Caenorhabditis elegans: one gene and its partners. The protein of the gene in region 1 interacts with the protein of each later gene in a biochemical or structural test. Each region holds a gene or a part of one and is shown on either strand. Other genes may lie near its edges.

Region 1 (3,478 bases):
TTGCCGTCTTGAAAGCGGCAAAACCGGGCGTTCGCTGGACGGATATGCACATTTTGTCGGAAAAAGTGATTCTGGAGCATCTCAAGCAGGCTGGGCTCATCGTCGGCGACATTGATAAGGCTGTGGAGGCACGTGTAGGCGCGGTCTTCATGCCTCATGGATTGGGACACTTGATCGGGTTGGATGTGCACGATTGTGGAGGATATATGGGTGATGCGACGCCGAGATCAACGCTTCCCGGGCTCAAGAGCCTCAGAACGACGAGAACGCTGATGGAGAGAATGGTGAATAGCTCTGCAACCCGTCAAAACAGTCCCAAAACAGTAGATTTTCGGAAAAATCGATAATTTTCGCAGAAATCGAGTTGGCAGAGCCCTGCAACCCGTAAAAATTGTGGAAAAGCTGACTTTTTTAGTCAAAACTGTCCCACGGGAGTAAATTTTTCGGAAAAATCGATAATTTTCGCAGAAATCCAGGTGTCAGAGATCTGCAACCCGTTAAAATTGGAAAAAATTGACTTTTTCAGTAAAAATGGTTCCAAAGCATTAAAATTTTCGGAAATATCGATAATTTTCGTGAAAATCGAGGCGGCAGAGCTCTGCAACCGTAAAAATTGTGGAAAAGCTGACTTTTTCAGTCAAAACTGTCCCACGGGAGTAAATTTTTCGGAAAAATCGATAATTTTTTGAGTTTTGAGCTGTTAAAGCATGCAAAATGCCGAAATTTTATCGAAAAGTAGAAAAATTAGCCCCGCGGAGCTGGAAAATCCAGAAAACCTCAATTTTTCCGAATTTTCACGTAAAAATCGATATCTTCCAGGCAATCACCATCGAACCCGGCTGCTATTTCATTGATTTCCTGCTCAACGAGGCGCTCGCCGACCCGAAAAAGAGCGAATTCCTCGTCAAATCCGAAATCGACAAGTACCGCGGATCAGGCGGCGTCCGTATCGAGGATGACGTCATCATTCGTGCTTCTGGTAACGAGAATCTGAGCGATCTTCCACGAACCGTCGAGGAGATCGAGAACTTCATGGCTAGTGGAGGCGAATGGACGGAGAAGGTCATCGAATCTCGTGTCTCTGATTTCTTGTCCAAGTGATTTTTTGTCTACTGATTCTAATTTATCATCATTCCTACTACTATTACTGTGTTATTTTTTCATGTAAAATAAAATTTAATTTTTAAAAATTTGGGATTTTCCGAAAACGAAGAGTTTATTTGTAAGATAAATAAGTTATTTTAAACTTTTTTGGTTGTATAATATGATTCGAAATGTGGAAAATAGATTAAATGAGACAGAGAAACCGAGTATCTCAGTGGAAAAGGGATGGATGGGTGTTTGTTTTCGGATTAGAGTGTAGGTAGAGGACTAGAATCCGCCCAGCTGCTCTTGGTAGACCTCGATGACGTCATCGTCCTCCATCTCGAGCGTCTTCGGTGTGTCATCGTCGTTGATGCGACGTCCGTCGAAGAGGAAACTGCAAATATTTAAAGTTGATAGGAATTGGCGCGGATTTCCAAAACTCACCGAAGACTGTTGACGGCGACACCGGTTCTGTCAGCGTACGACTTCTTCAGCTTGGCCATAGAGGTTCCATACTTTACACGGAAGTGCACTTCGTTGCTGTCCTGCAATTTTTTTGGGAATTATTAACAAATTCGCGGCGAATTTCCAGTCAAATTACCTGTCCAACGACCTTGATCTTGATGTATTCGGCGTTGTCGCCTGCTTGAGCTGCATCATCGGCCATCGTTTATAGCGGGAGTCTCTGAAACGAAATTAGATTTGAAAAGAGAAAAAGAGATAGAAGGAGAGAGGTAGAGTTGCTATGGAGAATGCAACTCACACGAGTGAAAGGTATTAAGAGTGCAGAATGATGACTTTCTAGGGTATTTATATAGACGCTGTAACAAATAAAATCGATAATTACAGAACAGCTGGCTGAGCCACAAGATGCTTGAAAAATTAGGAATATCGATTGTCTGGGGAGCGCTGCGCTGAGAATTTCAAGAATATCACTGCGAAATTCAGAAAAAAAACCCATTTTTCTCAAGGAAATCCTTTTTTTTAGGATATCCAGTTCCTATCAAGTTTTCTACGTGGTTTTTCAGCGAAATTGACGAAATTTAGAAGCAAAACTTAATTAAACGCATCGCGACCGGAGAAAGAAGGCAAAAATAAATGAAAACACACGAAATGAGCCGAAAAATCGGGCAATACGCGCCTAAAAACCTTTTCGAAATGATTTCCCGCGTTGCAGAGTGTGCATGTTCACGCCGCGGTGTTTGCACACAATGCACCGCATTTCACGAGCAACACGAGGGTACGGTAGATTTTGGACAGGTTTTTGACCAAATTTGGTGCTTTTTGGACTGAAAAAATAAGAGATTTCGGCCTAAAATAGATAAATTGGTGAATTATTTGAGTTTTCAACGAAAAAAATGTTTTGAACAAGTTTTCGGAACAAAATTCAAGGTTTTCGCTTGGTTTTTGAGGAAAAACTCTAAAAATACCGTTTTCCAATATGTAACAAGGCAAACTGGATTTTAAAATATAATTTTAAGCTAAAAACTACAAAAACAATTGTTAATGAGCATTTTAGGCCAAAAAGCGATCGATTTAATTCGCGCGGTATCGTCAGGTCTCATCGTGAAATTGCAAGCGCGCTCTAATGTGAATATCGATTTTTCTTTATTAAAAATATATTCAAATTTAATGCTTTATACATATTTATGAAATCAATTAAGAACAGCAATTTCCAGTGTTTTCGACCTCCTTAACCGTCATCAACGGGCCAACGAAGAAATATCCGATGGCGTGGCCTAAAATTTACGAATTTTAAGCTTTTCTTCTAAAAATTCAAAAAAAAAAAAAAATAAATAAAACCTGCTAAAAGCGAGAAAAATAGCGGATAATTATATGTCATTGCTACCAGCATCAACGAATAATCCACAAAATTTTGAAGAAAAAATAGAAAAGAAGACGCAAAATGTCTCCAACTTGAGATGGATTCCATTGTAAATCTGCAATTTATCACCTTTTTTCGGAATTTCGTATCCTGGAATATTTTAAGCCAACTCACGGAGCCAACGATGCCAGTTTGCCACGTGGCGACGGCTCAGGCTCTTCCGGAATCTCCCAAATGCCTTCAGGCGTTGAGCAACAGCAATCGACGGCCTACAATTTTTTTTTTGGAATTCAGGAATTCCCGAAAAATAAAACACGGGTTTCTGGCTTCCCTCATAATTTGAAATGGAAGAGTTTTTGCCGAATTAGGCCATTTTGGCTCGGCCATATCTGGCGGCGCGTAGCGGCTCAATTTTAGTTGAAAAACTAAATGTGATTTGTCCGTGTGGAGTACACGACTTTCCCGTCCGGCAGGCGATTGTCAATGGAGCGCGAAAAATTCAATGAGGAAGGCCAGAACCCCCGTGATAAAATTTTAACAAAAAATCACCAATTTTTCCTTCACAGT
Region 2 (6,839 bases), on another chromosome or scaffold:
GGCAGTGAAGAGAACTGCATTTTCAGCAACATTTGCAGCTAGAGCTGGGAGAGTTCCTGGATGTTGAAAAATATGAATTTTAGAAATCAAGTTACATTTAATTTTTCAAGATTTTTTCGATTTCATCTCGACTTCCAAATCAAAACTACGTTATTTGAAATAAAACGTTCAAAAAAATTGCTGAGCTTTCTGGAAGCTTTTTAGAAATTGTATTTTATTTAAAAAGAATCTGAAACTTTTGCAAAAAAAGGTTTTTTTTGAAAACACGTTATATTGTTCTTCCCAGAAAGGGTGAGAATTTTTACTTCAAGAAGTACTCTTTTTTATAGTTGCATGGAACGTGTTCAGTACAAAGGATTGTTTTTCTTTTTTTAGATTCAGAAATCCAGACTAAGCTCAAAATTTTCGAAACAAAAATAACAAACCAGCGTAAAGTCCTCGAATTCCGTCCAATTTATAAGTATCCTTGAGACAAACAATCCAATTTGAATAGAGATTCGGGAATGTTTGTACTTTTACTTTAACTGTATCTAATGGTTGTCCAGCATACACGTTGGCAATTCCACCAGCTGTTCCAGCCAATAAATCGATAATTCCATCTTTAAAATGATTGGCTGAAGCATCACCCGTTGCAGTTGTAGGTTCACCGCTTTCATGCATATTTCTATCTATTTTATTTTCTGAAATAACAAAAATTGGAAGAAATGGTTTTGAAAATTTCCAGAAAATTTAGATCACGATCATTTTTTCTTGTTTGCTAAATAGCTGGTTTTGTTGGTTTTTCGGACCAAAAAACAAAAAATTTAACTTTTGAGTCGTGAGGAGGAAAACAAAACGACAATTTCTTTTGGTTTTGGGAAGTTAAATTTTTTGTGACTTTGTGATCACGATGAGCACAATAAAGGAGGATTTAAATTTCCTCTGTTTAGAAAATAAAACATTGAATCTGTATAAACTTCAAAATATATAACCATGAGGTTGAAAATAAAACCAAGAAGAAAAAAAAATAAATTTCAACGAAAAAAAAGTGAAGAAATTGTATTTATTGCAACTTGCAATGGTGACGGGGATCGGGAGTGAAATATATTGATATAACAGAGAAAGCTGATTGATATTATTGAACTGGGAATTGAAAGGTGGAAGGGAGAGAAAATTGTTAATAAATACGTCAAAAATCAAATAAAACTCGGATAAAAGGAAGAATGAAAAAGAGAAAAGAGAAAAAAGGCCAGAGATCCACAGAGACAAAAAAATCTTAAAAACGGGATGGGAAAGTTTGCATCACCTTTTGAAACAAAACAACGTCATCTGAGAATGACCACGTGACAAGTGATAATGTGATGTGATCTGACACCGTCGATCATCTTTAATCTTTTGTATGAACATTCTTTACACGGTATGAAATGAAATCAAAAGTTATAATTAGTGATGAGAATCACAACGATATTTTGGATAATGAAGAAATGCTACGAAAATGGGAAATATGGTTAATTCGAAATACAGAAAATTAAAGACTTTCTAGATGATTCGGGCTTACGACACCGACAAAATATAAGTTTTAATTATGCCCAATGAGAAGAAAATACATTTTACAGCTACTTTTCCGGAAACAAAACTATGAATTATGACACTTTTAATCTTCTAGAATCAAATAGTTGCGAGTAACTTCTTCGAAACAATCTCGTAAACCATTCGCTTTCTGTAGTATGGCATATTTTTCTGCGTGAAGCGAGGCGTCGTTCGTCGAGATGCCCATTCACCGAATTGGCATGAGAATACTCCACAGTCACTGCCATTTTGTTGACGAGGAATGTCCTAAACAAGATGATTATCGCGTGTTGAAGATCTTTTTGTGTGTGTAATTTCAGAAGTATTACTGGTTGTTTTAGAGAGCATAGATATCAAAAAAAGAGTGATTGAGCCAAACATCTGGACTTCTAAAAAAAAACTTTTTTTCAGAAATAAATTTAAAGTAAAAATCCTTTTTTTTATTTAATTTTTTTAAAATTCAATATACCGTCATCTGTTGAATTGTCCATCCAGAAAAGTTCATTGCTGTCTTTTTCTTATCCAATGATTCAGCTTCCAAGTAACCTCTGAAATATAAAATATTTATTGATATATTCTCTGTGAGTTTTTTAAATAAAAACCAAAAACACTCAAAAAACTAACCGCAATGCTGGCAAAACGGCTGTATTTCCATCATAAAGAGAGTCATAAAACTCAATCTTCTTTTCGCCCATATCGATAACAGCCATACACCAATGCATTCCAAGATGAACTGGCACCAAAACGATGTCGAATGCAAAGATATCGACTTTTCTTGTCCATCGTTTCACACTCGCGTATCCTTTTGAAACAATATTGGAATAAAAGAATGTGTTGAATGCATAGATCTTTGGATATTTCGAATCGCCATTGCTCCGATCACAAATCAATTGAAGATAGAAATTGATGATCTCATCATTCAGCCAATGCAATCCACTCAATGTTGCAAGATCTTTTTTACAGATCTGAATGCTGAATGCATCCACAAATTGTTCATTTGGATTCCCTCCGCTCCATGCTCTTTCTACAAGAGCATCAGCAGCATCAGGTAAAGCCATAAAATCATCAACTTTCTTCTTCTCCACCTTCGGACGAATAGCGATTCCTTGCAATTCAAGTCTCTTCCGAACATCTTCCAATCGATCACCTCTTGTTTGAGAGCGATGTCCTTCTCGTATCCGAGCCTCTTCTAGAAGTTTATCCTCCTTCTGCTTCGACAATTGATAAGAATTCTGATATCTCTGCGGTCCTCGATATGCGGAACCGATTCCAAGGCTATTAATTTGCGAGAGAATATCATTGAGTTTCCTGTATGAATCAGATTCCGACGAATTTGATCGGGCGTGTTGGCGGTAACTTAAATTTATATTATTGCTTGAATTGATGAAAAACTTAAATAAATACCTTGAAGAAGTGGACTCTTCGCTATCAATGATGATGGATGGTTCTCTTGATAAGAGTGAAGGGGTGTTGCTTCGGGATCCTCCCAATTCTGCGATTTTCTGAAGAAAAAAGATCAGAAAGTTTTAAATAACAGTAATATCCTGAACATACATTCTTCGCTCTGGCTAATATGTCAGTTGATGATGTTCTCTGCATTTTCTTCGGTTTTTTTTCAACAATTCCAGAAATCGCTTTAGCTTCGTATTGTCCACTTGCAACAACTCCTTGAAGAAGTCGATCGCGAGATGACAGGTGATTTTTTATCTGAAATAATTAAACCTTAAAAATAAATAATTATCTATAAAAACAGTGGACCGAAATTAATTCTAAATAACAAAATCGTCTAATGTATCCGTTCCAAAATCAATTTTAATGTTAAAAAATTGAATCTTGTAGGTTTTGCGGACCATTTGGGAAGAAAAATCTTCCAAAATGGTTTTTAAAAAAACCTATAAAGTTTAATAATAAGAAGTTTTTGGCATTTAGAATTAATTTCTGAAGCTTCAGTTTGATACACTGAAAATTGTAATTTCTCACATTAGTTTCTCTGCTTCATAAAGAAATAATTACCTTCTTTAAATCAATAATCGTGTTCATTTTCCGAACAGAAGTTGAGTGCTTAAATTGATGTCTAACAGGGACCCGTCTCAAAACCTCTGGCTTTTTAGCAGAATTCCGTCTCCAATAATCACGAACATTATTTGATGTGTAATTTGATAATGATGATAAGCTCGGAGTAATCGGACGACTAACACTGTCATCGGGTGTCGGTGAGATAAATTCTTTGCTCCTAGAGTCAGAAATAACTGATACATCGTCTGGTGTGTCTGGATTGTCGTTGAGAAAGATCAACTAAAGTTTGATAATTTATTATAATAGAATTATTCGAATACTAATACCTCATTCTGAAATCGTCTTGCTTCTTGCAATTGCTTATTTGGTGTCTTGACTACTTTCTCGAAAAGAACGTCTGGTTCCTCATCATCCTGTTGTACTTCAAATGACTTTTCCAAATTTTTTGGCGACTTTGGGGAAGATGATAAGGTGAGCACTAAATCTCCTTGAACTTCTTGTTTTTCTTCGTCATTCCGAATTTCAACGTTTTTTTGAACATGTTTCTCAATGATAACTTCATTTTCCTCTGATCCAGCATTGGCTCTCACAGGTGCATCTTCGTTCAGAAAAATCATATATTTCTTGTTCTGTAACAACTGTGGTCATGTTTAGTTAGGGGGGGGGGGGGGGGGGTTTATATACCGTATATTCTCTATTAGTGCTGCATCTCCAGTAGTACTGCAGTCTCTAATAGTGCTGCATTCAAAAAGGGTCCGAAAAATAGTGCTGCAGTCTCTATTAGTGCTGCACCCCATTTTCTATTGAAAGAGTCACTTGACAGTTTCGATATTTTTGGGTATTTTTTTGTATATTTTATGATTTTTTGATAATTTAGGAAAGTAATTGAATTATTGGGTCTTTTTTTTACAAAAGTTCGCAATTTTTATGAATTTCTGCTTAAAATATGAGGTTTTGTGATTAAAAACTAGTGATCTATAATTGAAAATAGCCGTTCGAAAATTAATGCTGCAGTCTCCAGTAGTACTGCAGTCTCTAATAGTGCTGCATTAAAAAAGGGCCTGGAAATTAGTGCTGCATGCAGCACTAATAGAGAATATACGGTATTTGCTGAACTTAACTCCGAAAGTTAATTTATTCTCAAAATATACCTCAGCAACTCTCCTCGTCGTTCCTTCCACTATAATTTCATCATCCTCTTGAACTTGAACTTCGCCCGAAACTTCAGTTTTCTCCTTTTCTCCCGAATTACTGCTTACGAACATTCCGAAGAAGGTATTGAAAAGCCCTGAAATGTTGAAGATCGCTATTTCAAATTTATACTTTTATGGATCAAGGAAAAGGATTCACTCACCACCCAATCCTTGAGATTTCGTTTTTCTGGTTCTTTTTGTTGGCGACTGCTCTTTTTCTTCGTTTGTAACAGCTTGATCGGTTAACCAATGTCGTTTTCTTGCTAAATATTTTAATTAATTTCAGCTTATTTTTCATTCACTTCTCCTACATTGAGAGTCTTTGTCTGATAAATCAGACCTACGTGACATTCCGTTTCTCTTTCAATCGAATATCGTCTATTTTTGATGTTCCAGATTCAAGTAGCTATCCTGAAATATAGTTTTTAGCTGCTTTAAAAGATTTTTGCTATAGTAAATACTATCACAAAGGGCAACATTTTAAGTTTTTCAGCCAAAATAAAGAAGGCAATTAACCTCTAGGCAGTACGTAATCATTCAATTATTGCATAAATTACTTTTAATAAAAGAATAGATGAATGGGATAGAAGCGGAGGAGATTGGCTGCAGATCATTTTTGAATGAAATGAATAAAATTTGGGGAATCTGGAGAAAAGTTGAACTGTTAAAAAGATAAATGTGAACAAAATAAAATCCAATAGATAAAAATAGAAAGAGATCTCACCACAGGAAGACAGCCAATCAACTCTTTTTTTTTTGTTGATTCACAGTGAAAAGGAGAATTTTTGGAATCGATAATATATGGTAACGAGAGATGGAGAAAGAATAATAGTTTGTCAGCTTTTCTATAGATGGGAATATTTTCAACTTGACTGAACAATCCGGAATACAAAAAAAACAAGGAAACGAAACGGGAAAAATGTGGTGAAATTTTGAATAACTTAGTAATAAATGGTAATAAAAACAATTAGAAAGAGAATACTCGGAGACTCTTATCCAATGAACACGTCACCAATGAACGAGCATTTTCTCCGAATCTAACTCCAGTGACTGGTCCAGAATGATCAGAAAGTGATACAACTTCACTCCAGCTCTTCACATGCAAAACTTGAACTTTTTGGCCACCAATTCCTAGGAATGTTCCAGTCATGTCGAAGGACAGGGAGTTGATCTGAAAAAATTATATTTTTTCATTAAACATTTGCTTAACAATTTCTTACCGGTTGTTTCTCTTCGTTAGCGAAAGTTTTCAGATTCTTCAATTTTCTAAGATCCCATAATTTGACCTCTCCATCCTCTGATCCCGTAGCCAAATAATATCCGTTTTCAGAAAACGCAATCGAACGAACGGCAGCAGTATGTCCCGGGAATGCAGCAGCCACGGTTTGATTCTTCAAATCCCAAATCTTCACAACGGCATCCGCAGCTCCAGTTCCAAAAATAAGACCATCAGGATGGAACTCGATGGAATGAACGGCAATTTGTGATCCTGGTTCAACTGAAACCTTGCAAAGCGATTTTCCGGAACGAATGTCGGAGAATGCCCAGTAAGAATCATCAGAAGCGGAGAGAATGTAATCACCGGATGCATTGAGGGAGATATCTGTAAAACATTGTTTGTTCAATAGAAGAATTACAGCTAGCGAATTTTTTTCAAATATCTCACCTGTAACGGGTGCCTGATGGACATCAATAATAGCCTTCGAAGACGAATCAGTTGCACTCCAGACTCTAATATGTGAATCAGCAGAAGCAGAGATTGCAGTAATATTATCCGGATGCAAAACAACTGCGTTGATCTTCTTGTTATGCCCCTTGAATGTTTGCATAACCTGTTCCTTTTCATAGTCATACAAGACAACGGTTTTATCAATTCCTCCGGTAAGTGACAAATTTCCCTTGATATCCAATGCAGTAATTCCAGGAGTTCCAGTCGAATGAATTCCAGTGTGAGATGCTGTCTGTTTCAGCTCGGCGAGCTCTTCTGTTTTGGCAAGTCCTTCAGGAAGATTTTTTCCTCGTTGTTTACGTTCAGCAGTCAGACTCTTTGATTTCTCTTCAAGTTTTGCCAGAATTGCCTCA
Region 3 (5,601 bases), on another chromosome or scaffold:
AAACGGGCGGTTCGTTTGAGGCGGGTACAGAGAGAGAGAGAGAGGGGGGAGGAGATGTATATTGGATAAGGGGGGACCTATAGGTAATGGATATGACACCTTTTGCATGCTGATTCTTATCGAGTTATTAATCAAAATAGGGAAATATTGAGATATTTTTAAATCAAAATGTGGGAGGCTGTATCTTTTTGAAAATTTTAAAAATGTTAAGGGACGGTTTCAGGGCCTGATGCCTGCCTGAAACTTCAAACTTCAAATTTTATCATTTTTATCAATCTGTTAAAAATCAAAATAAGAATGAAAGAAGTTCACGAGAGGCAGGCAGAGGTTGCCTTAAAGTCAGGCAGGCAGGCGTTTTATCGCCTACGTGGAAGCCAGGGGTGTGCGGCAAATTTGCCGAATTTGCCGAATTTGCCGAGCACGGCAAATTTCAAAAAAGTAGATTTGCCGAATTTGCCGAATTTGCCGCACACGTCAAAAATTTGACAGTACAATTTTGACTAAAACTATTGATTTTTTAGCCAAAAATTTAGTAAAATGATACAAAATTGAGCTATTTTGATGCTTAAACAGACATACTACGCGGAACTTATTCAGAAACCAGATGTGTGTTAAGAATTCAGTAGTTTTGGTGCTCCAAAAAACATAAAAAAAATATCAAATTTTTCCGAGTTTGTTAAGCACGGCGAATTTGCCGAATTTGCCGAATTTGCCGAATTTGCCGAATTTGCCGTGCTCGGCAAATATTGAAAAAAGAGATTTGCCGAATTTACCGAGCTCGGCAAATTTTGAGATTTGCCGCACACCCCTGGTGGAAGCCCTAGGAGAGGCTACAGCAGTTATTCCAAAATTCTCAAGGTGGGTTCAAAAATTTCCTAAATTTTTCTCATGTCCTCAAAAAAAAGCAAATACACTACTAAAACTGAATCATGCACTACCAGATGCCTATCAGTCGCACCTTTTGATGACCTTCCCCCCTGGTTATCTCCAAAATGATGATCTCACAAAAATCCGTGAAGACGCAATAATATTTATGTTCCACCCTTCCACATCTTTCCGATATAACCTATCATTAGTACGGTTTTCTTGTTGGATAAAGAGGTTTCAGGGGCTGACAAAATATTTAATATGAATTGAGTAGAGGGGTTTTTCATATGATACTACCCTAAAAACATTCCGGATGACTGATCTTTTTAGGACCCCCACTTCACCCCATTCAAGCACCTCTTCTTTGTCGGCCATATATTCCGATCCGTCAATTTTGGTCGCAGATGACTTTAATCCGCAACTTCAGCTGCTCCGAAAGAGCACAACAACAATAACAACAGATAAGGAAGACAAGAGACCCGTAAATAGTGAAGAACAGATGCTAGTTGGGATGGTTTTAGGGGTAACAGTAAAGCATATATATCAAGAAAATTCAAAGGTATAGAAGAATATCAAAATGAGTGATTTTCACCCATTTGAAGATACTTTCAGAAAAATTGCAAAGCACGTAAAAATGCATTAAATTATTGGAGGACACTATTACAGACTCTGTGGCATAGTAAAGACAAAAGGTTGTATTTTATTCCAGCCATGTGTTTAATGTAACGTTTTGCAAATGGATATAAAAACAATAGTTCCAGTTATGAACCTTTAAAGCTCTAAACATTGTCATGTGGTTTGATTTAACTTGACTCTTCAACAAGAAGTATCTAAATATATAAACGTATCAAACACACACCCTCCCCTCCGACTTATTAATTGACACCATATGTCGTATGTATATATATACAAAAGTGATTGGGTGTGAAAATGCGGTAGAAATCAAACAAAAATGGGGGACCTGCGGTACTGTGAGGCGGAAATATGTATAGAGGGAGTTGGATTTATACCGAAAATTTCGTCTTGACAATTATTTTAGAATTGAATTTTATCGTGTTATTTTTTTTGAAAATTCTGCTCAAAGTTTTAAAAAATACCCTATGTTTTGGCAAAATTTAAGTCATTTTTCTCACAAATTTCTTGAAAATTCTACTCAAAAACTTGAGAAAAAAGAAACACCATACTAAATCATCAAATCATCATTAAAACCAAATACGGATTAGCTGCTCTACCCAAAGCGACACACATTCATCAATTCTTATCGGATTTTACCCGCAAAAACCAAAACTAAATTCAGAAAAAAAGAGAAAAAAGTGGCAGGGAGAGGAATCAGTAGTTGAGCATCAACCGACAGGTGGAAGAGCATGGTCGTTACGGTTTATTCAGCCGTCTGGCAGGAAGAACAAATTGGTTTGAAACTTGTTCTACTAGACTAGTTAGTAAAATATTTTGAGAATGTGCCAATAGCTCCACTTGCCACTATAGTAGAAAAGTATCATATTGTTCGAACATCCTTTCAACTTTACCAGTTGTCATTGTCATTGTCATTGTCATTGACTCGGTTGTCATTGGTTTTATCAGAAAATTGTCAACTGACAAAATGTTTGTCACATATTTTTTTAAAGTTTTCTAGTTTACTATATTTTGATATTTTTAAAATCAACTGAAATTAGAGCTTCTAAAGTGAGGAGGATTTAACATGGTGCATCAGCTCATATCTTGGTTGTCTTTTGATTTTATTTGAAATTGTCAACTAACAAAACATTTTTCAAATATTTTGCTATAATTTTTTCATTTTAAAATTACTAGCATTAAAATAAATAGAGATATAGGCTGTCCAACAAATTAACCTCAAATGAACCCACTTTGGCAGCTTATGCAACTTTATCAGTTGATATCTTGATTGACATTGGTTTTATCAGAAAATTGTCAACTAAAAAATTGTTTTTCACATATTTTTCTATAGTTTTGTATTTTACTATATGTTGATATTTTAAAAATGAACCGAAATATGTGCTCCTAAAGTGTAGAGGTTCAAACATGGTGCATAACTTTGTCACCACTTTCCTTGGCTATCTTTGGTTCTATCAAAAAACTTTTAACTAACAAAACAAATTTCATATGTTGTTCTATAACTTTGTAGTTACATATTTTTTCGTATCTTAAACATTAACCGAAATATAAACTGCCAAAGTTGCCCAATCAATGCACCATGTCCCCTAATTTTTCATTTCACATTTCGACTGTTCAAATCACAATAAGCAAATTGCCGAAAAATGTGAAATTTTTCATTCAAAATAAAAATCACTATCAGCAATTTTGAGCCAAACTTCATTGAGCACATTTGCTTTTAGTAGCAAGTGTGTTTTGCTCCAAATACTATAAAAAATAAACTAACTTCTTATATCCAAAATTCCCTCAATCGTATGTTTCGGAGATTCTTCTTCCTCGGCTTCTTCCGAACTCGACGGCGGCTCTTTTTTGACCTGCAAAAGAATACTATTTAGGAGTCATGAAGTCAGTGGACAAACCTTCAAAAGGTCAATGTGATTCATTTTCGTGTAAACTGTAGAGTGTCGGCGCTTTCTTTTGACCTGGAAAATGGTACGGGGTGGCGGCGGCTGATGAAAGATGACGTGGCAATGAGTGACGAGCTGGCTACTATTTTCAGTGACTCTATAGATAACAAGGGACGGGAGGGGGGCTGTAAAATGCGGAAATTTACAACACTTTTTGCTCACTTATTGTTGAATTGAATCTACATTATAAAAACACGATAATTTTAAGATATGAGCAAAACTTGCTGTCACTTTACGATCTCATGCCTACCTTATGCCTACTCTAGGCACCAGGCAGGCATAAAGGCCTACTGTACAATTCATAAAAAAAGAATGAAGTATGTGGAAAGTGGGACAATTATTAATATCTTCAAATTTTAATGCGTTGTGACACAAGACACAAGGGAAAAGTTTTAGTTTCAAAGGCCTAATTCCCTTGGCTAATACGATTTTAAACGGAAGAGGAGAGGTTTAATGTTAGAATAATTTAAAAGTTGAGGGAAATGGTTTAGTCTTAGATTTTTTTTAAAAGTAAAATCATATATTGGAAATCACAAAAGTTGGTCTGCTCAAAAGTTGTTTAAGTGTAATGAAGAATTTTTTTTTAGCTATTTGATAATTATTTTATAATACCTGCAATGTTTTTGTATGTCTTCTTACTTCAAAATAGCTCAAAATTGTCTGAAATTGCCCAAAAAACTCTTTGAAAACCCGCCAAACAACGTAGGAAACCGAAACTTGCTCGAGACTTAACTTTGAAAACTTGGTTGTTTTTGTCAACTGACAAAATATTGTACAATTATGCAATTAACATTATTAATCAATTTAAAACAAACCAAATTTTTTTCCACTTGCCAATATATAACTATTTTGGAAAATTAGAAAATCATCATATTAAACGAACATGGTGCATCGAAAAAAAACTTCAACTTTACCAGTTTATATTTCGGTTGTCATTGGTTTTATCAGAAAATTGTCAACTGACAAAATGTTTGTCACATATTTTTTTATAGTTTTCTAGTTTACTATATTTTGATATTTTTAAAATCAACTGAAATTAGAGCTTCTAAAGTGAGGAGGATTTAACTGCATAACTTTGACAGCTCATATCTTGGTTGTCTTTTGATTTTATTTGAAATTGACAACTAACAAAACATTTTTCAAATATTTTTCTATAATTTTCTCATTTTAAAATTACTAGCATTAAAATAAATAGAGATATAGGCTGTCCAAGAAGGAACGACATGGTGCATCAATTGAACCTCAAATGAACCCACTTTGGCAGCCTATGCAACTTTATCAGTTGACATCTTGATTGACATTGGTTTTATCAGAAAATTGCCAACTAAAAAATTGTTTTTCACATACCGTATATCTTCTATTAATATGGCCTCCCTATTAGACTTGCACTCCCTATTAGTATTGCCCCTCGGAGACCTTCCGAAAATTAGTATGGCACTCCCTATTAGTCTTGCACTCCCTAATAGCCTTGCGTTTACTCTTTTTTATTGCAGGCCCGTCTTGTTAACTTCAGGATTTCAACAAAAAAATTTGCCTATTTTGCAACAGTTTTTCACAACATTTCTACGAGATTGAAGTTTTTGAACTTATTATATATGTTACAATTAAAAGCAAATTTTCTGAATTTTTACATAAGATTCGAGCTTTTTCAGAAAAAAACTAGTAAGCTCAAAGTCAGAAAAATGTTCTGAAAATTAGTATTGCACTCCCTAATAGTCTTGCACTCCCTATTAGTATTGCAAGCGGGAAGACCATCGAAAAATAGTATTGCAGCCATATTAATAGAAGAAATACGGTATTTTTCTATAGTTTTCTAGTTTACTATACGTTGATATCTTTAAAATCGATCGAAATATGGTCTTCTAAAGTGTAGAGGATCAAACATGGTGCATCGAATTCACACGCTCAACTTTGCCAGCTCATACCACGGTTATCTTTTGATTTTATTTGAAACTGTCATTTTAACAAAACATTTTTCAGCCATTTTTCTATATTGTTCTAATGTCAAACTTACTAACATTCTAAAAATGATTAGAGATATAGGCTGTCAAAGAAGGAAAGTCGTGGCAGTGCGTCGAATGAACCCACTCTTGCTCTACTTTAGCAGCCTATACCTCGGATGTCTTTAATTTTATTTTAATAAAATTTTAATAAA
Region 4 (8,461 bases), on another chromosome or scaffold:
CTATGTATATATCAAAATAAAAGATCCTGTTTTTTAACAGATTGTCCAAAATTTTTAGTCAAATTTTTAGCAGCTTTCGAAATTTTAGGAAATTTTCTTTGTTAGGAAATTATTTTTTGATGGCATTATTTTTTTTAGGAAAAACTTTGCAATGTAGTTCTAAAATAAAAATGAAATAATTATTTTTGTGAATCGTGAATCGAAAATTTACCTTGTCAGCGAATTAAGAAAATGAGATAGATTGGACAGTACGTGATGCAAAGATATAGGGGTTTCACAAAATATACAACAAAATGGAAATATATTAAAAAGGGAAATAATTAAAATCACAAGGAAAAATTAAGCTAGACGAATATTAAAAAATACAAGCTTGAAAGAAAGTTGGTCTCATTTTTTGGATTTTTCACAAAGTTTTCTTTTTTTTTTCAAAATTTAGTTTAAAATATATTACTTCAATTTAATGTCTGCTTCTTCGCACACGGCGTTGAACGACAATTGGTGGTGGAGATGGAGTTGCTTCTTCGATCAATTCATCCTCTTCATCTTCCTCTTCAACTTGACGACGCGGACGTCTTCTTACTGGCTCATCGTCTTCATCTGAATCCTCAACACTTAATTCACGACGAGTTGCGGGTGGGAATCTATTAAATTCAGGAAGATCACTGTCATCATCGAGACCAAAGTCCGAGAGTTTCAGCATTTCCAGCCGGCGTTGTTTACCTGAAAATTGGTATTTGTTGAGATGGGTTTAAGTTGGACTGGTTGCTACTTTGATTTGGTATTTTACAATTAAAGTGCAGTTGATATGTCACTAATTATTACTTACGTTTTGGTGCAATAACGACATTGCTGAGCCCATTACTCAAATCAATTTCCGGTTCAATCTCGGCACGTCGTAGCTTCTCGCGCCGTTTGATCTCCTCCTCGAAAATCTTCAAAATCGGACGATTCTTGATCTCCACCGCGATCGGATCCACCATAATGTTATAAGTTTTTCCATCGATTTTATAGATACCAAGCAAGCGATTTCCGACCTCGAACATTTGATTTCGAAGCGAAATTATGATAAATTGAGCGTTCCGTGTTCGCTCGGAATGCTTGATATAGTTTGCAATCAGGCTGACATTGTTCAAGTCCAGTGCCGCATCGATTTCATCCATCACGTAGAGGGGTGTTGGACGGTAGTGGTGCATTGCAAAGACAAAGCATAAAGAGGCCAGAGTCTTCTCTCCGCCAGATAGATTCTCGATGAGCTTCCAGGATTTCTTGGCGGGACGTACACTGAACTTTATTCCACCATCGAAGGGATCGGTAGATTTTCCTTCTTCCACAAACTTCAAACTAGCATCTCCGCCATTGGTGATAAGCTGTAAGCAAATAACTTGTTTCTTTTAATCTCATTTAAAGCAATGGGTCTGACAGAAAAAATGCTTCCTGTCAGCCTGGTAGCAGGCAAGTACCCCTTACTCACCTGGTAAAGCATTTGGGTAGTAGTACCCAAGAATGCGAGCGCCTCGCTGAACTCGTTGAATCTCGCCATTCTCAACTCGTTGAGCTTCTCACGATGAGCCTTCAGCTTATCGCTAAACTTCTTCGCTGACGTCACCTCGTTCATGAGAAGCGACACAATCATCGCATAATCCCGAACACCTTTATTATCAAATTCCCGCCGGAACTTGTCAACATCTTTTTCCAGCTTGCAAATCTTGTTAGCAGTGTCCTCGAAAACATCGTCCTCAAGCATTCTCGCTTCGTGCTCTTCGTAAGCTTCACGGTGAGGTTCGATCATACTGATGCATTCATATGGGAGTACAACGTGCCTAAAAACTCAGTGATTATAAATTTGAATTTGCACATGGAAAATCTCCCAAAGCTTCTGAAACGTACCCATCAGTCATTTTGGCCGCAATATCTGGATCATTATATCTGACAAATTTGCCAGGTGGATAGAGCTTTTCCGGTTGCATCCATGCAGATTCAATAATATCAAGTTCTGCATTATCCGCCATTGTCTTGTTTTCCAAGTCATCAATGATTCTCATCAGTTCATCATAAGTCTGTTTGACCATGTTGTAGTTGTCAACTGTGGTTTGATAGGCTGCATCTGCTTCTCGGCGTGCCGCAACCGCTTCAGTGTACCTGGCTCTTTGTGCATCAATGCTGGCCTGGAAGATTAAAAATTAGAAAATAGTAAAGCTTGAATTGGTAAATTCTGAATAGCTCGAAAATGGCGAACTTCATAAGGAGACTGCTTAAAAAAGCGCAAAAATTGTTTGAATAGTGGTTTAAAATTTTGAAAAAAAATCGAAAATGTTTACTAGAACTAAGGGAGCAAGGTTGGAAACACCAAGCTAAAGCCTAAGCCTAAAAAAAGCCTAAGTTGGAGCTCAAGCCAGAACCTAAGCCTGGACCTAAGCTTGAACTGAAGTCGAAGCCTAAACATAAGCCTAACCAGAATCCTAGTCCTATAGAAATTAAACATACCGTTGAAGTTTGCAATTGCGCATTGATAATATCAATTCCCTTTACATCCTCTCCAACTTCCAATTGAGCCAATGCATCTGCCTCGCTACGTTTCTCCAGACACATATGCTCCAGCTCACTAAGCTTCTTCTCGGCCTGCTCCAAATGTGATGGATTGTTCTCAATAATTGCAGTTTGTCGTGCAATGTCCTGCTCCAGCTGTCCCATTCGATCCTTCGCCTGCTCAATTGAGTCCTTATTTTTTTGGACCAACTCCATAAACATTCGGTCCATTTTCCGTTTGTATTGCTCAATTTGCTGCTTGATTTTTGCTGAAGACTTTTGGCTCTCCTCCACTTGACGTTTCAGATCTGCAATTTGAGCTCTCTTCTCGTCCAAATCCTCAACGGTCACTTCTCTATAGTTAACCATACGGCGCTCATGTGCTGCGATTGAGCTCTGGAAATAATTAAAAAATTAGAATGGAAATTTTGAATAAAATCTAGTTTTTTTTTCGATATATCCATTTTCAAGAAAATCGGAACAGCGAAAATTTCTGTGTTTCAGTAAGAGACGCAAAAATAAATCACCTTTAACTCGGCAATCCGTGTTTTCTGCTCCTTGGTGGACATAATCAATTCACGCTTACGAATCTCGAGCTGTTTGATAATCGGACCATTGTCGGCTCGGATCTCTTCTTGCTTTAACTGCAACTTCAAATGAGCTTCCAGTGCGTGATTGTGCTTCTCCTGTGCGGCTCTTAGCTTGCTCAAATCAACTTTTTTGACTCCACTCATGTTTGGATTATTATCATTTCGAATACGACCAGTCGTCGGTTTTCCACCACCAGTCAATGCTCCACTTCGGTTCAAAATTGAGCCATTCAGTGTGCAATAACGATGCCTTCCAGGATACTTCTTATCAATTCGAGTTGCTTCTTCAAGACTGTCAACAACCAGAATGTCATGGATCAAGAAATAGAATTCGCGGCGAATCTCAGGGTTTACACAGTGAATCTTATCGAAAAGTCGTTCGGCTGGGCTGAAAATAAGAATTAATTAGATTTGGCAACTAAAGGCAACTACCAACAATTTCATTGTAGAATCCATTCCGCTAGTATCAGTATCTTTCAAGTGATCCAAGAAGACAAACGTCGTACGAGGAAGTTTGTACTCGTGGCAGAAGCCAATTCCGATTCTACATTCATCGCTAGTTTGCACAACGTGGTAATCCAATTGTGCAAAGAACACTGTTGAAATTGCGGTGTCGAACTTGATTGGGATACTTGCCAAATCTCCCTGTAAGACAATTAATTTTAAATTGGTCCTCGAAAAAAAATCAATTCGAAATCAGACTAAACGTGTGGCTTCTGAATTTGAAAGATCCTATTTAAAATGTATTTCTCCCAGAAAAATCATACTTACATGGAACATCAGATTACCCCAGGATGCTCACAGCTAATCAAATTTCAAAGCAGGTACTCACTCCCAATCGAATAACTTACCAAGCGACCTTTGAAGCCCGGAAATAATCCAGCCTCTTTCAGTTCATGAAGCTTTGCGGTTGCCTGATGACGGTACGTAACTTCCTGGGTGTTCGATGCTTCAATCACTTCTTGATCCAGCTCATACTTCTTGCTTCTCAAAAGTTGTTCGGTAGACTTCAAATGCGGAAGCTTCTCGACAGCTTTGTCAAACTTCAGCTTTCTATCTTGCAGCTCAGTTGTGACGGCGTTTAGCTCACTGGAAGGATATGGGGAATTTTTAAAAGCTGGTTAAAATAAAATAAAATAAAATAAAACTTACGTATTATCTCTAATGTTCTCAGCCATCATTGTTTGCAATGTCCCTTTAAGCTCATCAACTCTCTTCTGTCCCTGCTCCATCATTATCGTCATATCCTTAAGTTCTGATTCAGAAACGTCCAATTCTGCTTTTGCTCGCATCGATTGCAGAAGCTCATCTGAGAGTTTTTTCTCCAGATCATCATGCTTCGCTCTGTCGGCACTAGACTTCTGATCATACTTGATGAGATTCTCTGTAGCTGTCCGCTGACACACATTCTCCTGCTCCTTGAGCTGATCCCATTCGAGTTGCATGTTTTGCTTAGAGATTCTCGCATTCTCTGGAGCCGTCTCAATTTCAAACTTCTCCCGACGAGCTTCATCCCGCTCCTTCATGAGCTTCCCAAGGTCCTGAGTACACGACTTGAGCCCCTGCTTTCTCTTAGCATCACGTGCATGCCAGTCATTCTTCTTCGATTGCCAATCGATTCTTTTATTCTCCAGCTCAGTGACAATACTATTAAGGCTTCTCTCGTGAGTCTCCTTCTTCCGAACTTCATCCTTTGCCTCAAGCATGATATCCTTGTTCTCTTCGAGTTCTCCTGTTCGAGTGACAAGACTCATTTTGGCGTCCCTCATTGTTTCAGCATAACGGCACAAATTGTGCTTGACACGGATTCCACGAAGGTAGTTGAGATTATTGAAGGTATTCAGGTAGGCCATCCCGATAACCATTGCCTTTTCAAAGACTTTTAGGTGTCCCTCGTGGCGGCGAACACTGGAAATGGAAAGAATTTTAATTTGAAATTTTTTTAAGTTTCAGAAAATTAATATATTTCAAGTTGAAACCGCAAAGTTTTTTTGTTTTTTCCTAGTTCAATTTGAATTTCCATGCTTTATATTTTTATGTGGTACATCCGTGCCAAAATTTGTGGTATTTAATAATATTAAAATGAACTTACGAGGCTCCATATTGTGAACTTTTGTGCTCCAATAGAGAAACCCGATGCATTAGTTTGGAAATTGGTGCGACAAAACGATTGGTTCCAACAATATCCTCAATATATTCAAGCATTCCTTCTTCATTCGGATTTTTGGATGTTGGCTTCATTAGTGCAATCGCTTCAACTTCTCCTTGCAGAATCAGGAATCGATTATGGGTCATATCAATTCCAGCACGTAGGAGAAGCTCCTGGACGTCTTTTTGCGATGCATCTTTGTCATCAATACGATATTTTGAATTGTTTTCACGATTTATTGTGCGGGTGATGCAGACGCAATTATCTGTTAACACTTCATATTTATCGTAATTTTCGACAGGCTGAAAATTAATTTTGATATTGATAGTTATTAGTTTGTTTTCAATCGTGTGGATCTCAGGCCCGCTTTAATAACCTACTTACCATATCCTTCACCATCTGGAACATAATTGTTACTGAACATGATTCGTAGTTCCCTCCTGAATTGATCAATGCTGATAGCTTCTTGGTACGAATTTTTCCAGCCTGAAACAATGTATATTGTGGAATAAAAATTTCAATTTAAAAAACTCACTTTAAATCCAAACACGAATAGCAATGCATCAATAACGTTTGACTTTCCACTTCCATTTGGTCCCAGGATCATTGTCAAGTTCTTGTGAAACGGTCCGAGAATATGTTTTCCAGCATAACTTTTAAAGTTCTCAACGTAGATATTCAGAATTATCATTCGATTTCCATCCGGATCCGAGATCTGATCTTCATATTTTGGGGGAATTTGAACATTCAAAAGATCCTCTTTTTCATCATATTTCACACCGTTTTCAGCCGCTTCAAGTTCCAACATATACGCGCCTGAACTAACATCATCGAATATGTTGAGCTGTTCCATGTACTGTCGTCGGCGATCCACGTCGAGATCGACTTCAGGCATCGAGTCGGTGTCAGCATATGGTCTATCATCGTCCGAGGTTAGCGCCCGTCTTTTAAACGGCTGCATACCTGAAAAAAGGAATTAATTTTGATAAATATTAAAAGGGAGAGGGAGAGTAAGAGGTGCATAATTTTGCCAAAAAGGCAAAGCTTTGGAAATGTTTTGACAACTGGCAAACTTTCGACCCCTTCCAATCAAATTTTTTTGGTAATTATCAACTGACAAAATTTCTTTGAATGCCAATTGCCAACATTACCTAATCAAAAAATTTTGAAATATATATTTCATATTTAAAATTGAATCACACAGTTTACAAATTGATAACATTGAAAAAAGTCATCTAGAAATTTATTAATGTTATAGTATATTATATAGTTATCAGTATGATTTCACCTCAAATATTGAAAACTAAATTTTTAATGTTGGGGAAAAATTCAAATCGATAATTCAAACGAATTTTTTTTCCGGACTTTAGGAAAATCAGGGCACAGATAACATTGGAAACTATATATAAGTTTGTTAATTTTTTTAAGATTTAAGATTATGAAAGCTGCGCTAATTAATTTATTTGTCAAATTCAAAAAAAAAGTTAAGAAACGGTCACACACGAGCACACACCCATTTCATTGCGCGCGCGCAAGCGTATGTCTGTGTCTGTGTGTGCGAGCTGTTACTACTGCTGACCGAGTGTGGGGTTAGAGGCAGACGACGAAAGAGAACGAAGGTGAAAGTGGAAAAGAGCATGGAGAACGTGGAGACTGAGAGAAATGACAGACTCCGACTGCGGTCAAGACGATTCGGGTGAGAGAAAGAATAGTGGAATAAGAGACGGAGAGAATCCATAGCAATGGGTGGGTGGGTGATGAGCGGAATATTGTTGCGAAGAAGGTTGGGTGTACCAGACTAAGGAGCTGGAGAGATAAAGATTCTAATTATTTGAAAATTTGGCAAACGTTTCCCATTACTAGATGTACAAATCGATATGCTACAGATAGTCGATCAACGATCACGCTTTGGGAAAAGTATACGAGTTTTCAGCTGAAGAGGTCCCCAAAAAACCGAGAGGTTTTTATATGTATAATATTGAAAAAAAATCACTAGATTTTATTGATAAGAAGTAGTTTAACACGATGAGTGAAACTTGAAATTTTATATTAGATATGTATGTGAATCCAGATGGAAGCATGAAGGAAATGAGCCAAAAATTTTGTCAATTTATGTGTCTGTACGATCTCTATTGAACTTCGTCTATAATAGAACAAGTAGTTAAAGTCCTGATAGGCATTACTGTCTGCGATTACCCGTGTCTTGCTCCGTCAAATCCATTGCACCAGTTGATCCGGGCATCCTTAATGAAGAAGAGAATAGAAGAGAATTGAAGTCAGAAGACAAAAGTATAAAACTGACTAGTTTTAACAAGGTGTGAGAAACAAGAGACGGATGATTATTTTGTACTTCTCAGGTCGCCTAGGTAACAAGCACACTGGTACGGGCTGGCACGACTCCATCTTGTGATGGGTAGAAGAGGTGTGTGAGAGAAGAATATGAGCTGATCTCCTCTGTTGAGATGATAGATAAGCTTATAATTTGAGCAGTTAGTTGCGTGTAATTGAGGATTTCGTTTTTGATGTTGCAGCCAACAACGGGTCTTCTAATGGTGGGAAATGAGAGATCAAACAACGGATGGTCTTGTGAGCAAGAACATCTGCCAACATACGGTTCAGATGAGCATATTACAGAGTCACAAACCATGTAAACTTCTAGAAAGTCTGCAATCGAAAAAATGGAGGGGAACTGTAGAAGAAGAAACAGGGGTATAATTTGATGTAAAACGGATTTGGATGTAAAACGAAATTTTCAATTCCGACAAAATGGCGGTTTTCCGATTTTCCGGATATTTTCATTTTCGGCAATTTTCCGGTTTTCCGTTTGCCGGATATCAGATTTGCCGGAAATGATTAGAGGTATTTTTCATAAGACGGAAACACTAAAAACTGTGCCTATTTGATTTTTTTTCCCCGTTTTTATAGTTACTTTCTTAGAATTTGTTCACTTTTCAAAACAGATGTAGGAACATTCATAGGATGCGTACAATTTTGCCAATTGAAATTGAATTTCTGAAATTTCCAAAAAAAATGTGCAAAATCACAATTTGCCGAAAATTTTCGGCAATCGCCGGTTTGCCGGTTTGCCGAGTTTCAGGAAAAATCGTTATCCGCCCACTCCTGGTATATGTACTAATATAATAGAGTTAAAAAATTTTAGACAAACCCCCACAGTATGTAGATCTGAAGGCTTAAA

Evidence for each region.
Region 2: of the proteins of smo-1 (region 1) and ulp-1, one has a biochemical effect on the other in vitro, tested with the Caenorhabditis elegans proteins (one study listed by BioGRID).
Region 3: of the proteins of smo-1 (region 1) and lin-1, one has a biochemical effect on the other in vitro, tested with the Caenorhabditis elegans proteins (one study listed by BioGRID).
Region 4: of the proteins of smo-1 (region 1) and dpy-27, one has a biochemical effect on the other in vitro, tested with the Caenorhabditis elegans proteins (one study listed by BioGRID).

The regions. Positions count from the first base shown.
Region 1 is NC_003279.8:1,338,978-1,342,455, reverse strand, and holds smo-1 (Small ubiquitin-related modifier), read right to left. Parts: upstream 1,779-3,478; 5' UTR 1,754-1,778; coding exon 1,688-1,753; intron 1,632-1,687; coding exon 1,531-1,631; intron 1,481-1,530; coding exon 1,372-1,480; 3' UTR 1,191-1,371; downstream 1-1,190. Other genes in the region: K12C11.1 (Xaa-Pro dipeptidase), read left to right, coding at 1-284, 820-1,101; K12C11.7 (Copper transport protein), read right to left, coding at 2,746-2,825, 2,890-3,026, 3,086-3,180, 3,461-3,478. UniProt on the Caenorhabditis elegans protein: Ubiquitin-like protein which can be covalently attached to target lysines as a monomer. Does not seem to be involved in protein degradation and may function as an antagonist of ubiquitin in the degradation process.
Region 2 is NC_003281.10:5,164,632-5,171,470, forward strand, and holds ulp-1 (Sentrin-specific protease), read right to left. Parts: upstream 5,169-6,839; 5' UTR 5,109-5,168; coding exon 5,069-5,108; intron 5,021-5,068; coding exon 4,919-5,020; intron 4,853-4,918; coding exon 4,716-4,852; intron 4,194-4,715; coding exon 3,891-4,193; intron 3,844-3,890; coding exon 3,562-3,843; intron 3,256-3,561; coding exon 3,103-3,255; intron 3,051-3,102; coding exon 2,953-3,050; intron 2,905-2,952; coding exon 2,173-2,904; intron 2,097-2,172; coding exon 2,018-2,096; intron 1,816-2,017; coding exon 1,648-1,815; 3' UTR 1,028-1,647; downstream 1-1,027. Other genes in the region: T10F2.2 (Mitochondrial ornithine transporter 1), read right to left, coding at 1-56, 426-660; prp-19 (Pre-mRNA-processing factor 19), read right to left, coding at 5,725-5,928, 5,978-6,360, 6,424-6,839. UniProt on the Caenorhabditis elegans protein: Protease that deconjugates smo-1 from targeted proteins and may catalyze the processing of smo-1 to its mature form.
Region 3 is NC_003282.8:2,296,865-2,302,465, forward strand, and holds the start of lin-1 (ETS domain-containing protein), read right to left. Parts: upstream 3,423-5,601; coding exon 3,399-3,422; intron 3,354-3,398; coding exon 3,266-3,353; intron 1-3,265.
Region 4 is NC_003281.10:3,813,452-3,821,912, forward strand, and holds dpy-27 (Chromosome condensation protein dpy-27), read right to left. Parts: upstream 6,229-8,461; 5' UTR 6,227-6,228; coding exon 5,801-6,226; intron 5,752-5,800; coding exon 5,650-5,751; intron 5,568-5,649; coding exon 5,209-5,567; intron 5,025-5,208; coding exon 4,269-5,024; intron 4,206-4,268; coding exon 3,968-4,205; intron 3,762-3,967; coding exon 3,553-3,761; intron 3,505-3,552; coding exon 3,054-3,504; intron 2,923-3,053; coding exon 2,485-2,922; intron 2,166-2,484; coding exon 1,888-2,165; intron 1,821-1,887; coding exon 1,472-1,820; intron 1,368-1,471; coding exon 827-1,367; intron 721-826; coding exon 458-720; 3' UTR 193-457; downstream 1-192. UniProt on the Caenorhabditis elegans protein: Central component of the condensin I-like dosage compensation complex that associates specifically with hermaphrodite X chromosomes to reduce their gene transcription throughout development.